2 linked regions of the Rattus norvegicus genome follow. The protein of the gene in region 2 interacts with the protein of the main gene of each other region in a biochemical or structural test. Links are inferred from orthologs where the notes say so. Each region holds a gene or a part of one and is shown on either strand. Other genes may lie near its edges.

Evidence for each region.
Region 1: the proteins of Apbb1 (region 2) and Evl form a complex in vitro, tested with the Homo sapiens proteins (2 studies listed by BioGRID). The link is inferred for Rattus norvegicus from reciprocal best matches to the Homo sapiens genes APBB1 and EVL.

What each region holds. Positions count from the first base shown.
Region 1 is NC_086024.1:133,236,446-133,243,233, forward strand, and holds the start of Evl (ena/VASP-like protein), read left to right. Parts: upstream 1-2,101; 5' UTR 2,102-2,589; coding exon 2,590-2,594; intron 2,595-6,788. UniProt on the Homo sapiens protein: Ena/VASP proteins are actin-associated proteins involved in a range of processes dependent on cytoskeleton remodeling and cell polarity such as axon guidance and lamellipodial and filopodial dynamics in migrating cells.
Region 2 is NC_086019.1:169,313,964-169,320,193, forward strand, and holds part of Apbb1 (amyloid beta precursor protein binding family B member 1), read right to left. Parts: exon of another isoform or gene 5,881-6,230; intron 5,592-5,880; exon of another isoform or gene 5,553-5,591; coding exon of another isoform or gene 5,432-5,552; exon of another isoform or gene 5,310-5,431; coding exon of another isoform or gene 5,258-5,309; intron 4,315-5,257; coding exon 4,139-4,314; intron 4,045-4,138; coding exon 3,988-4,044; intron 3,903-3,987; coding exon 3,817-3,902; intron 3,709-3,816; coding exon 3,645-3,708; intron 3,264-3,644; coding exon 3,114-3,263; intron 2,748-3,113; coding exon 2,620-2,747; intron 2,522-2,619; coding exon 2,516-2,521; intron 2,225-2,515; coding exon 2,110-2,224; intron 1,964-2,109; coding exon 1,879-1,963; intron 1,626-1,878; coding exon 1,542-1,625; intron 1-1,541. UniProt on the Homo sapiens protein: Transcription coregulator that can have both coactivator and corepressor functions. Adapter protein that forms a transcriptionally active complex with the gamma-secretase-derived amyloid precursor protein (APP) intracellular domain.

The sequences.
Region 1 (6,788 bases), on a different chromosome or scaffold from region 2:
AGACACACGGAAACACCATGACAAGGCTCCTCCAGAGTTTCCCCCCAGTCTGCCCCAGGAATGTAGCTGGCTTTATCTTCTTAAATGGTGAGAACCCTCAGCTTAGCTCCAGGCAGGATTGCAACAGCTAGGGAGCTTCAGCCTCTTCTCAAGGCCCACAGAGCCTGCAGGACAGCTAACCTAAGGTTCTCTCGCAACCCATCTCTAACCTAAGGTTCCCTCCCAACCCACCCATCCAACGTCCTGTCAAATGTTTCCTGTCTTGTTATCTTCCCAAGTAGGGCTGCAAGGCCATGGTGTAGGAACTGTCTCCCTTCGAGCTGTGCAACAGAATCTTACGGAGAACCACCTGAGGAGCTGAAGAACTCAATGGAGGAGTCAAAACAGAAACCCCAGGCTAACCTCAAGTTGTGAGAGCAAAATGGATCAAAGGTAACTTTTATTTCTTGCCAGAACTGAACACAGCACCCTTTGTCAGTCTCCCTTGCCAACTACTGCAAGTACTTCCACAGATAGGCATTCTGAGAAAGGTAAGGTCATTGTCCCCACAACACTCAGTGAATTCATAAAATCAGCAGCTTGGGTCCTTAGGGGTCTTTGCAATCTTTTTCTCATTAGAGAGCTCCCTGAGCTGTAGGAAGGGCTGAGGCAAGTCACCGGGGCCACTCCCATCCTCTGCTGTATCCTGCTTCCCTGTGGAGGATGCAGATCTTTTTCTAAACCAGCCTTACAATGTCTGCAGAAGCAGAGGCCCCACATTTAATGCCAAACATGCTCAAACCTCCCTGAGTTCCCCATCCATTAGGTGGGAATCCTAAAGCTCACCTTACAGGCTGCTGGGGCTCAATTGAAGCCCCAAGGTCAGTAGGAAACAGACTGAAAGGGACTTGCTCACATTTCTCCCTATTCCCACCTGTCCTTCCCCTTTCCCGAACTCAGACTTCTGAAGCCAACCTCTATTTGCAAATCAGAATGAAGGCTTTATTCCTCGGAAGTAGAAGAACTTGTGTTTTCCACCCTTCTGATACAAAACGTTACAAAAGGTTAACATTTTTTGAAACATGTGACCTCAAAAAGATTTCTTTCTGGAGGCCACCAGTCCTTGGCTTTGAGAAGTGATTCCTCATTAGTGTCAGTGATTCTAGTGGGGGCGCGGCGGAAAGACGGTGTCTTTACAACAAACCCAATTGATTATGCCCTCCAAGTCACAGAATGGCAATTTGTTAGATCCCAGGAGCAAACACCTGGCGATTGGTGGCCACAAGCAGGAAGAACACAATGCCTTGCTGGAATCAAGGTATGCAGCAACCAGGACTCTCCTGAGGACACCTGGGATGCCTTCAGTTGACCTGAGGCCCCACTATTTTCACAACTCTTAGCACGTGACAAGGCTCTTCTGTAACCAAGAGACCAATATAGATCCCAGGAAGAAGGGAACCAATACGGTTAGGAAGACTATGACCTCAGGCAATGCTAACAGTACTGCAGATCCAGGAATCCGTTCAAGATTGCATCTTTCAGCCCTTAATGCTCTGTTCTGAATGCACTGGAAAGCTGGTACAAGTAGGGCTCCATGTGCCTCAACACTCTCCCCCCATTCAGCCTTGACTCACAAATCACACCCTTTGCCCTAAGCCTCTCCACCTGCCCTTCCCTCGACAGCTCCTCCACCACCAGGGATTCTGTGGGGTCTCCGCCCACTCTGCCCGCCTAGCTCCAGGTCTACGCCCCAATCCCCAGCCCTAAACCCACGACCCTCCAGGCTTTTCGGTGGAGCTCGGCTTTGTTTCTCCCTACTAACTCCTTCTTCCAGGCCTTTCCTAGACCTAAGATCCCGAAGCTTTCCCGCAAAGGTCGCCCGGAATCTTTCCCTTGCAAACAAAAATCCTGGAATTCACTAAGTTAACCTGTTCCTCCAAACTACAGTTTCTCCCAAATTCTCCTTTGGGACCTTAGGCCACGCCCCCTGTCTTGCCCCCAGACTCCATGGCCCATCCACCCTTTCCACAAAGGTTCGCCCCACCCCTCTGGACCTGGGCCACACCCCTGTCCCGCCCCCTCACGCTCCGCCCTCTTAGAGGCGCGGACCGCCGAGCCCCGCGCCTTTTGTGTGGAGCTTCTCTGCGGCGCGCACCCATTCCCTCCGCGGCCGCGGACCGAGGGCCGTCGGCGCGCGCAGTCCCCTCTGCGGGCGGAGGGTCCCTCCGCCCCGCGTGCACCCCGCACCCCATCCTCCCGCCGCCGCCCCGAGTTTCAAGGCGGACGCGCGCTCTCGCTCCCGCCCTCGAGACCCCGCCGCTCGCCCCCTCCCCCGGCCCGTCGGCTGGCGGGCGGCACGCGCACGCGCCGGCCCGGGCACGCGCGCCCGCCAAGATGGCAGGGGCCGGGGCCCAGCTGTCAGTCGCCGCCGCCGCCGCGGCCGCGCTGCCTCGCAGCTAGCGGCCCGGACGCCCGCCGGAGAAGATGAGCCCCCGCCGCCGCCTGCAGCCCAGCCAGACGCGGAGCCGCCGCGCCCGGGGCCGGCTGCCCCGCTAGCGCCCCGTCGCGCCGCGCCTTCATCCCCGGCCCCGTGCCCGCCCGGCAGCCACGATGAGGTGAGTAGGGGCCTCGAGCGCGGCGAGGCCTGGAGCGCCGGGCGTGGAGGGCGGGGTGTCCGAGCATCGAGGGGGCACCGGAACCCTCAGCCGGCGGCCCAAGCACCAGAAGACAGTCAGGCCCCGGGGTCCGCGGGAGGCCGCGCCCGCCTTGTGCTGTCTGCCGGCTGTGAGCGCCTCAGCGGCGGTCCTGTTCACTTCGGCTTCTGTAGCTCATCTCCATCAGGGCGCTCTCATCATCACCTTTCTTTCTGACCTGTCCCCTTTCTCTTGCAAACCCGCACATTGTGTAACCCCCAAAAGGTACGGCTTTTGATGTGCCCCTCAGCCGGAACCTTGTCAACACCCAGAAACTCCCGTGCTCTCTTCATCGCTGCTGCACCCAGGTTTCCTTTCCAGACTAACCTTAGCCTGCTTTCTGGGGTGGGGTGGGGGGCGGGGCGGGGCGCATGGCAGCGTATGCCGGTTTTTTTTTTTTCTCTTTCTGTGCAATGTTATCTTCTAGATACATCTTTCTTAAAAACACTGTAGTGTCCAATTGTAGATTCGTTTCACCTGTTTTGTGAACTGTATAAATTCAATAATGCATTATGTAATTTTTGTGTCTGCCTTCTTTCATCCAAGGTATTTCTGAAGTTCATCCATCAGGTTTCTATTATCTACTGTCCTGCGTAGTGTAGACAGTCCACACTTTATCCATTCTGCTAATGTTAGTAGACTTTTGGGTTGTTTTGGGCTATTAACCGTTCGGCGAATATGCCAAAAGCATTCATTTCTAATGAATATATATTCTACCTACCCACAAGCAGGTTGTTGTTGGTTTTGTTGGTTTTTTTTTTTAAACATAAAATCATGTACATCTTTTGTTGTAGTGGATAGAACTAAAATTCCCAAAGTCATGTTACCAGTTTATACCAGCAAACATTTAATAACCCTTGTTTAAAATCCCTGACACCCCTTGGTATTGTCTGATGAAATTTTAGCCATTCTGGTGAGTGTGAAGTGACATTCCATCAGGGTTTTAATTTGCAGTTTCTGGTTGACTGAAGAGGCTGATTGTCCATCTGTGTATGTTTGGCATTTTTTAAAAATTAAGTGTCTGTTTAAATATTGTCCAGTTTTAGCGTGAGGGGTTGTCTTCTTCCTAATTGGTAGAGTTACTATTCGTAAGTGAAGAAGATAGCTTGCTAACATTTTGCAGAAATTTTAATATTTTGCTTTTTATATAAAATAATATGGTCCACCTGGAACTGGTTTTTGTGTAATGTGTAAAAGGAACTGTTTTCACATTTACCTATCATGATTTATTCCTCATCGTTTACCAAGCTCACTGTTTCCCTCAGCTGCAATGCCACCTTTGTCATCTTTCAGACTTCCTTTTGGGGTCATATCTGTCTGAAGAACGTCTTTTAGTGTCTGTCTTTCTGCCTATCGCAATGTTGGGTGTATCAGACCAAGGCAAGGGTCTTGCACGCATCCAATGATTGCTATCCGAAGCTTTTGCTTGTCTGCTTTTTGTATCTTTTATGTATATGAGTGCATGTGTGCATATACATTCCGTAGGGGCGGGGGCACACCCAGGCCTGGGGTTAGCATTAGGAGTTATTCTCCAATTTCTTCATTGAGGCAGGGTCTCTCAGTTGAACCCACAGCTGGCCACTAACCATCTGTGGTCCTGTCTCCTTCTAACAGAATTGTAGGGAGGCTGCCACACCCACCTACTTTGATATGGGTTATATGGATAGACCTTCAAGCTTGCATGGGAAGCAGTTTATCCTTGAAACCATCTCCTGTGTCTTTGTTTTTGTTGTTTTTGAGCAGGGTCTCAGGCTGACTTGGAACTTAACCATCTCCTATCTGCTGGGATTCTGAGTGTACACTGCCGGCCTGGTCCCTTTAGTATTTTTTAGTGTAGGTTCTGCTGGAGCAGATTGTTAGACTTTGTTTGAAAATGTTTATCCTTCACCTTCCTCTGGTTTATAAGCAATTTTATTGAGATATAACTCATAGCACAAAGCATCCAGGGAAGCATGCAGTTCATGGTTTTTAGACTGTCCACAGAGCTCTGCAACCATTACCATTAGAACCTTTTCCTCCACTTTAAACACTCCTTTCATTGGTTAGTTTCGGAACTCAGCACTCCCCTGGCTCCAGCTTTTCACGCTGTCTTGTAGTCTGACTTGACTGTTTCTGGTGAGGAGTCACTTGCTATGTTATGTAACGTGCTTCAGATGTCAGGAGAGTGGGGCTTGCTTTGTCTGCTTCTAGGTTTTTGGCTTTTTTTTTTTTTTTTTTTTTTTTTTTGAGATACGAGGTCACACTGTAACCCAGGCTGGTTTCTACTCCTTGGCCTTGCTCAGCCTCCTAAGAGCTGGGATGAAAAGTTTGCTCAATATCAGTCTGTTATGTGTTTTTATCTTTATAGTTAGGTTCCTATGCCTTTTTCTTCCTCCTCCTCGTCCTCCTCCTCCTCTTTCTCTTCCTCTTCCTACTTCTCCTCTTCCTTTTCCTCCTCTTCTTCCCCCTCTTCCCCCTCCCCCTCCTCCTCCTTCTCTTCCTCCTCCCCTTCCTCTTCTTCCTTTTCCTCCTCCTCCTCTTCTTTCTCTTCTCCCTCTCTCCCTTCTCATTCTTTTCTAGTCCGGGATGGGTTCTCCCTGTAGAGTTGGCTGTCTTGGAACTCTCTCTGTAGACCAGGCTGGCCTCACACTCAGAGCTCTGCCTGTCTCTGCCTCCTGAGTGCTGATTGTATGGCTTCTTGAATCTATGGACTCATCTGTTTCCTTAGCTTTTCCCGCACCAGCTGCTAGGACTGCCTTTACCCATTTTCTCTTACATTTGCTCTAGGACTGAAGTCATTCATGTGGACCATTTTATAGATATCTATTTCACTTTCCTCCTTTACCCCCCCCCTTTTTTTTTTACCTCGCCATTCGTTTTGGATGTCTCTTCACCTGTCTCTCTTCTGCTTTATAGAGACCGCCATTGAAACTATGCACTGTGGTTTTAGCTCAGTCACTGTGTCGTTCAAACCACAGTCTGCTGTCTTTTTAAGTTTCCAATTATCTGCTCAGCTTCTCAGCCTTGTCTTTTATCTCTCCCCATGCACAGTGATCGCTGCCTGTGTTTGCTACACAGTGTCCATACTCAGTCATTTCCAGGGCCTTTTCTGCTGATCTCATGCATATTGTTGCTCGTTATGTGCCTGTCTCCTCCTCCTTCTCTTTCTTCCTCCTCCTTCTAAAATATGTCCTGGCCACAAATTGTTTTTTAACATAATTTGAGGCCGAAGATGATGGTCTTGTCCCCTAGAGGTAATTCACATTTGCTCCACTGTGGGGTCTCCTTGGTCCAGTTTCAGGGACCGAATGAAATGTTTCCGAGCTGAGTTTCATTCCATAGCAGGACCAGCCTGTTCTGTTCATCCTTCCACCCTCATGATTTCTCCTCACCAACACCTGCATTCCCCACCACCCCAGGCTAAGTCTTAATATTCTTCTCAGAATCACCCCTGCTTTTAGGGAGCAGACTAGTTTGCTTTTCTGTTGCTGTGATAAACCATGCTGACCAAAAGCAGCCTGGAGCTTACTTGGCTTACAGGTTAAAGTCCATTGTCAGGGGAGCCAACAGGAACCTGTCTGCAACTGAAGCCAAGACCACCACTGCTCTGGCTTACATCCAGTGGCTGCTCAGCTGCTTTCCAATACAGCCAGAGCCACCTGTCCAGAGGTGGCCCCACCCACAGTGGGCTGGGCCCTGCCACGTTAGTCATTAATTGAGACAGTGCACCCACAGATCTGCCTACAGGACAGCCTTACAGAGGCTGTCTCTCATCAGCGGGTCCCTCTTTCCAGGTGACTTCAGTTGTGTCAAACTGACAAACCAGCAGCGTACGTACCTTCTCAGTCTCTGACAGACTACTGCAGTGGCTCTAAGCAAGCATTTGTAATCTTTTGCCTGGTGTTTATAGCTGTTAACTAGTGGATTCTTCTGATTTACTTAGTCCACAGTTATCAGAAACAAAATTACTCGTTGGTTTTTTTTTTTTTTTTTTTTTTTTTTTGTATTTTCCTGGGACACTTCAAATCAAAATTCAATTCTGGAGATTTATGCTGCCGAGTGAGTGGTGGGAGCTGTGGAGGATAGTAACAGCCGACTGCTTGTCCCAGCTGCATCCAGTTGTCTAGTCGCTAGTGG
Region 2 (6,230 bases):
AAAGCAAGCTTTACTGTATTCAAATCTGTTCAAGAATGCTCCTGAAACATGCATGGTCCAATGTTCCCTCAAAAGCCCACGTGTTAAAGCCTTGATTCCCAGCCTGCTGGGTTTCTGGAAGCTCCAGAATCTTGAAGAGATAGAAACAGTAGGAGGTTTGTCCCGGATGGGAATTGCACAACTTCAGCTTCTCCTTTTGGTCCCAGGCCAGGAGTGTCTGTGCTGTGCCACAGTCTCCTATATGACGTGATACTGCCACAAAGCCAACCAAGCATGAACCAAAATAAACGGCTTCTCTTTAGAAGTTGATCACCTCAGGTGTTTTATATAGTAATGGAAGCTGACCAATGAAAATGGTTCCCTGCAGCTCTTAATCTTGAAAACCACATTGCTGTCCTAAGCCTTCTCCTAGTGCTTCCCAGGTACCACAGTGTCCCCTGCCCCGGAGCCTTACACACCATCCATACAGCTGAGACTGGCCTTTCCGTGGTCTGTCTCCCTCCACTAACAGTCACTGCTCGTCATACTTCTCAGTCATGTGACACTTTCAAGCAAGACTGTGCTTTCTTTCCTTCCTCTGTTCACAGGGCTGGGGTGGGGTCAAGGAAACAGGTCTTTCTCTGTAGCCCTAGCTCGCCAGGTACTTGATATATCACTCACTATGCTTGCAGCCAACCTGTTCCAGCTTCCCACGTTCTGGGATTACAGGTGTCACTAGGCCAGGCTTCACAGGAAGCCTTCTCTGGCCTCCTAGACTAAATGAAGGTCTTCTGCTGTATCTTGCTGCTTCCTTTCCACAGAGACCTTAACTTATTATGACATTTATTTGACTGGGTCCTGATTATTCTACTGTAAGTTCCCATAAACTCCATGAAAACCAGGCTGTGGCCATTGTTTCCCAATACAGGGCCTGACACAACAGGTTTCAAAGGTAATTGTTAAAGAAAGAAAGAAAGAAAGAAAGAAAGAAAGAAAGAAAGAAAGAAAGAAAGAAAGAAAGAAAGGAAGGAAGGAAGGAAGAAAGGAAGGAAGAAAGAAAGAGAGAGAGAGAGAGAAAAAAAGAAAGAAAGAAAGGAAGGAAGGAAGGCGGGTGCTGTGAAATTAAATAGTATATTTTAAAAAACTCTATATTTTTATAAAATTAAAGCTATGTTAATTATGCTTACGGCTTCCTTCTCTGGATATGTATGGCTCCTGTACTGAACCCAGCGCCAGGCTAATGCCTGGTATTTCCAGCCATCCAAACACCTGCCTCCTAAACCCAGCAAAGCTCTTCCATGGGATCAGGGCTAGGGGAAGAAAGTCACCCTCCGTGTCTAGCTCAGCACTAGTCCTGTGCTAGATGTTCACTGAAACATGCTCACTGGAGTAACAGGCAGGACACAAGACAAGGCTGGCACAAAGGTAGGTGGGATGAACTCTGAAAGGCAAGGAGATGCCACGTAACGAGAAAATCCAGGAGAATGAACCATAGAAAACACAGGGCGGGGCACAGAGTACCAGGACCAAGGGGGTGGCCCCTGAGGGAAGAGGACACATACCAACGGGTTTAGCCACAGGCACGTTCCCTAGGTAATAGACTTGAAACTTCTGCACCAGTTCATTCTTTGGTGCTGGGAATTCCACTGTGAGAAGAAAAAGAAAAAGAGGGTCACTGTTCTAGGTCCTGACACTAAAGCATGAACTATGCATTTTCCTAGTCCAACCCTCACGCCCACTTCTCCCCTGCCTCCCTCTACAAGCTTATCCACTTATGTACTGTCAAGCACCCATCTCCATGTGCTCATGCCTGCCCAGGATCCTGTGCCTCTTCTTGGGTCACCTCACCTTAACTAACAAAGCTGAGCTGTGCCTTATGAGGCTGCGTGTGGTACTCACCTTGGAAAGGGACATCCACAAGTTTAGAGTGGTCCAGGGAGAGTCCATTTACCAAGCAGCGAGCATTGCGCCGTTCAGACATGATCTGAGGAATGAATGGGGGGTGTGTGTGCTCTGTTAGAGCTACATTGGCCCCGAAGCCCCCACCTCACTACCCACCAACCGGCAACCCTACCCACACCCTTCTAGAGCAAAGATGACAGCTAGTTCAGGGAGTGGAGGGGGCCGTGCCTTGGAGCAGATCTCATGCAGGCTGGTGGCGATGTTCTTGGCAGGTGCCTCACAGCGAAACACGTGGCACTTGAGCATCTGGGTCAGCTTATCTCGAGCTACGTAGGCAAAGTCCCTGTTGGGGGAGGGTCACCTCAGTGTCTCCTAGAACCACCAAATGCCATGCCTGGCCACCATTCCACCCTCAACCTCCCTGTCCATGACAGTCTACAGGGTTTGCCCTGGTGTTCCGTAGGTCTGCCTTCAGGAGCTGGGGAGGCCAGAGGCAAGCATGCTGAGGTGGGGGATAAGGCCCAGGACAGCAGGTGAGGAAGGGGCAGGGCACACAGTAAGGGAGCCTAGGTGCTTCGAAGCATCCGGTCCAGGAGTAGGAAGGGGCACAGTCAAAGCAGATGGACGTTAATACCTCTCTCTGGGTCCGGCAGCACAAGAGAGCCAAAGAGCAGATTAGAAAAAGGACTAACTGCTGGATGGATGAGCCTCCCCCACCCCGGCGATTCCTGTGCCCACCTTCCACTGTCCCGCCCAACGCCCCACACGCGAATGCTGACGATGGGCTGGGCATGCAGCAGTGTCTGGTTCTGTGGCTCCACCAACTTTAGCGTCTCATCCTCCAGCTGGAGCAGCAGATCCTTTCCCTGCAAACCCAGGAGGTGGGACTCAGTGGTACCCTAGTGGGGGAGGGGGGCAGAGTTCTGCCTTCTCCAGCAAAGGGGACATTGGCCACCATTGGGGAGGAGCAGGGCTTACTTAGCTGTCAGACTGCCCACCTGTGGGCCTTAGTCTAACAAAGGTTGTCCCAGGACTCTTATCCCCATCACTGTTAAGCAACCACTCCTCAGGGTGCAAGGCTGGAGTTACACATCCATCCCTCAGAGTTGCTCCTTAAACCCATATATACCCCCATGTCCATCAGCCCTCTCGGAGACTAGTCAAATCCTTCGTATCTCACAATTCGCTGCACACCCCCACGGTACCACCACTTCACCAGCTCAGGCCCTCACCTCTCCCCAGCCTCCAGACATCGGATCATGTAGATTGTTTTTGTGGTAGGAGAGCTGGCGGATACAATTGTTGACTGCCACACTGCTGCGTCCTGGGGCCAGCTCCTCCTCAGTCATCTCTACCCAGCCTAGGGAGCGCACAGCGAAACACTGCCAGACACAGAAAAGGGTCGGGGTAGAGATCTGAGATGGAATTGGAGGTGCCTTGGGCACAGGACAGAGGAGCTCCTGACCTGGCACATAAAACATGTGAGACATTCTGAACTTAGATGGAAGGTCCCCAAACAAGACATGGTCAGAAGAGATGGCCTGCTGATCTAAGCCTTAAGAGTCCCTAAGAGGCCCTTGGGCCAACTGAGTTAAACACAGAAGCTGTCAGAAGACTGTTCAGCATACACACGGCCTTGCCTGAAACTGGTAAGAACTTGCTTGGGAGATTTGCTAAGACCACAGATGTCCTCAAAGCACAGCATGAGGTCTGTCCTCCACATAGAGGCCTGCTTACTAAATGGGTGTTGGTCTTGAACAAACCTTGATCCCTGGATTGGCGTTCCGTTGGGGCAGATTCTCCTCCTCCTGGGGCACTGGCTCTGGGCTGGAGGCAGATGGGAACACTTGACACAGCACCCTTAGTTTTAAGAATCCTCCCAATACCCCTTCCACATAGATCCAGTCTCACCCTAGTCTGCTGCATCTGACTCACCTGAGGCTCTGAGCTGAGAAGGGCAATGTCCCCTCCTCAGGGTCCTTCAGTCCCAACTCCATTGGGGCCTCTTCACTAGGTTCATCCTTTGAAAACAAATTAAAGAATCAAGCCCAAAATGAAGTCCCCCTCTCCAGTAGCCCCCAGAGTGAAGCTGGTTTCTTTATTTACCTTCCAAAACTCTCCTTCCTCAAAGCCTTCTTGGTGAGCAAAGCCAGTCCAGGTGAGCTGGAGGAAGAATGGGTGTAGGGTGGTAGTTTCACCCTGTTCTAGAAGCACAGACCCTTCCACCCCTGGTGTGCAACAAGCCATTGAGCCTTACCTGGGACTCTTCTTGGGGACTGTTCCCCTGCGATGGGGAGGCCCGGCCTGGGGGTTCCCACTGGGTGGTCCCTGTTGGGATGTGCCAGTAGTAGGTCCCTGAGGTGTCTTGGACCCTCATCCATCCAGCCGGTAGATCGGAATCCGTCTCGAAAGCGTTGGGGTTCCAGAAGGAATCTGCCAGGTAGGAGGCTCAGTGAGGGTCAGCCTACCCAATAATCATCCAGTAGAGGGCCAGTCCCCTTCCCAAGACCCCAAGGCTGAGAAGAAGAAGCTGGGAAAGGGACATTATAATTCCTGCTTGCTTCTAGAGCCGGACACTTTAGTCACCACATTGAGAGCCACCAGTGGGGAGCATGGCTCAGGTCTCCTCTGCTGCTAGCCCTGCTGCTGCCTAATGTGGCCACATGGAGAGAAAGAAGAAAGCGGAGAGGAAGGAGGAGGAAAGAAGGAGGCCGAATGACCCAGATCACCTCCTCACACATCATGCATAGACATTTTGTCTAGTTATAAAAGGTGCACACACTGCCGGCTTCTGCACACATCCACATGCACACAGACCCACAATATATGTAAGCCCCACCACACACCTGCACAGCCATAAACTGTGCACAGCGCACAGAAAATTCTGGAAGGCACCACATACAGGTATGCTTGTGAGTTCAGGGGCAAACAGACATAACAACACCAGTTATACACTTGTGTAGAGCTATGTGTTTATATATAGCTATAGATGCCAGCCCTGCTAACAGGTGTGTACATACAGCATTACCAAAACCTCCCAACATACATGTGAGTACCACATGCACATACAGGTGGGGAAACACTCAGATACAATGTATTATCAACCTCTGCTATGTCTGTGCAGATAGCGCGCGTGCGCGCGCGCGCGCACACACACACATACACACACACACACACACACACACACACACACACACACACACTCACTCACTCACTCATATATACCATGCACACACATAGACTCTGTATCTGTGGTATATACCCCTCCTCTCCTAGGGCTACAGCATTCCATCCTTGTTCCGGATTATATGGCCTCCCCTCTGCTCTCTTTGCCAGCCCCATCCCACATCACACCCAGCCCCATGGTGCCCCTCACCTGGACTGTTGTCCTGCAGGATGATGGCCAGGAAGAAGTCCTGGGAGAACATGGCGCTTACTCTCTGCCCCTCCTGCCTCCACCCTCCCTCCTCGCATCCCCTCTAGCCCAGCCAGCTGGGCTCACAGCCTGCTGCTGGGCTGCAGAGAAAAGCTCATCCCGCCCCCTTCTCACCAGGGCAGAGCGTCTGCCAGGCAAGATCCTCCTCCGCCTGGAGTTCTCGAGGGAGGGGCCAAGACCACCATACTGGGGAACCTCCTTGGGGGATGGAGATGGGTGAGGAAGAGGAGCTCATGAGACCCCAGCTCTTCTGCTCTTCTTTCCTTAACCAGGCTCCCCTCCCCAATTCTGAATCTCCACCCCACCCTCCAGTGGTGACATCAAAGCCTCAGTTAAGCCAGTCTTACAAACACCAGGAGGCTCGGCCTCTGGGGAATAGCTCAGCCACCTGGGGCCCAGCAGAATCTATAGGACTCAACATAAACAGGGTGTGGCTTCCAAACCCTCCGGGATCCTCCTCCTAGCTAGACTCTATCCAGCACTTTCAACTAAAGGGTGGTCTTTGAGGGCCGAAGCCCTAGCAAGCTTGAGGATTTGAGGTTTCCCAGCACCACCCCCCTCACCTGCCAGGGCCCAGCTTGGCTGCAGTGTCTCCTCGGCAACCGCAGCACCGGGATGGCTGGGAGTGCCCAGACTGCTGACGTGCTTCCCGTTACCAAGGAAACCAGGAATCCTGACTGGTCCAAGAGGCAGCACTGAGGGACAGGCAGTCTCTAAGATCCAGACTGCTGGGTACTAAGGCACAGAGGGGCTGGAAATAGGTTTGGCTATGCCAAGGTGTTTCCACACCTAACATGAGTTATTCCGACAAGGTGCTTCTCCATCCTCAGCCTGCAAATGAGGTAAGCACACAGACACCCAATGAAAGGGGCTCTTTTTGCCTATCCACCTGCTAGGCAGCCATCACTGTATC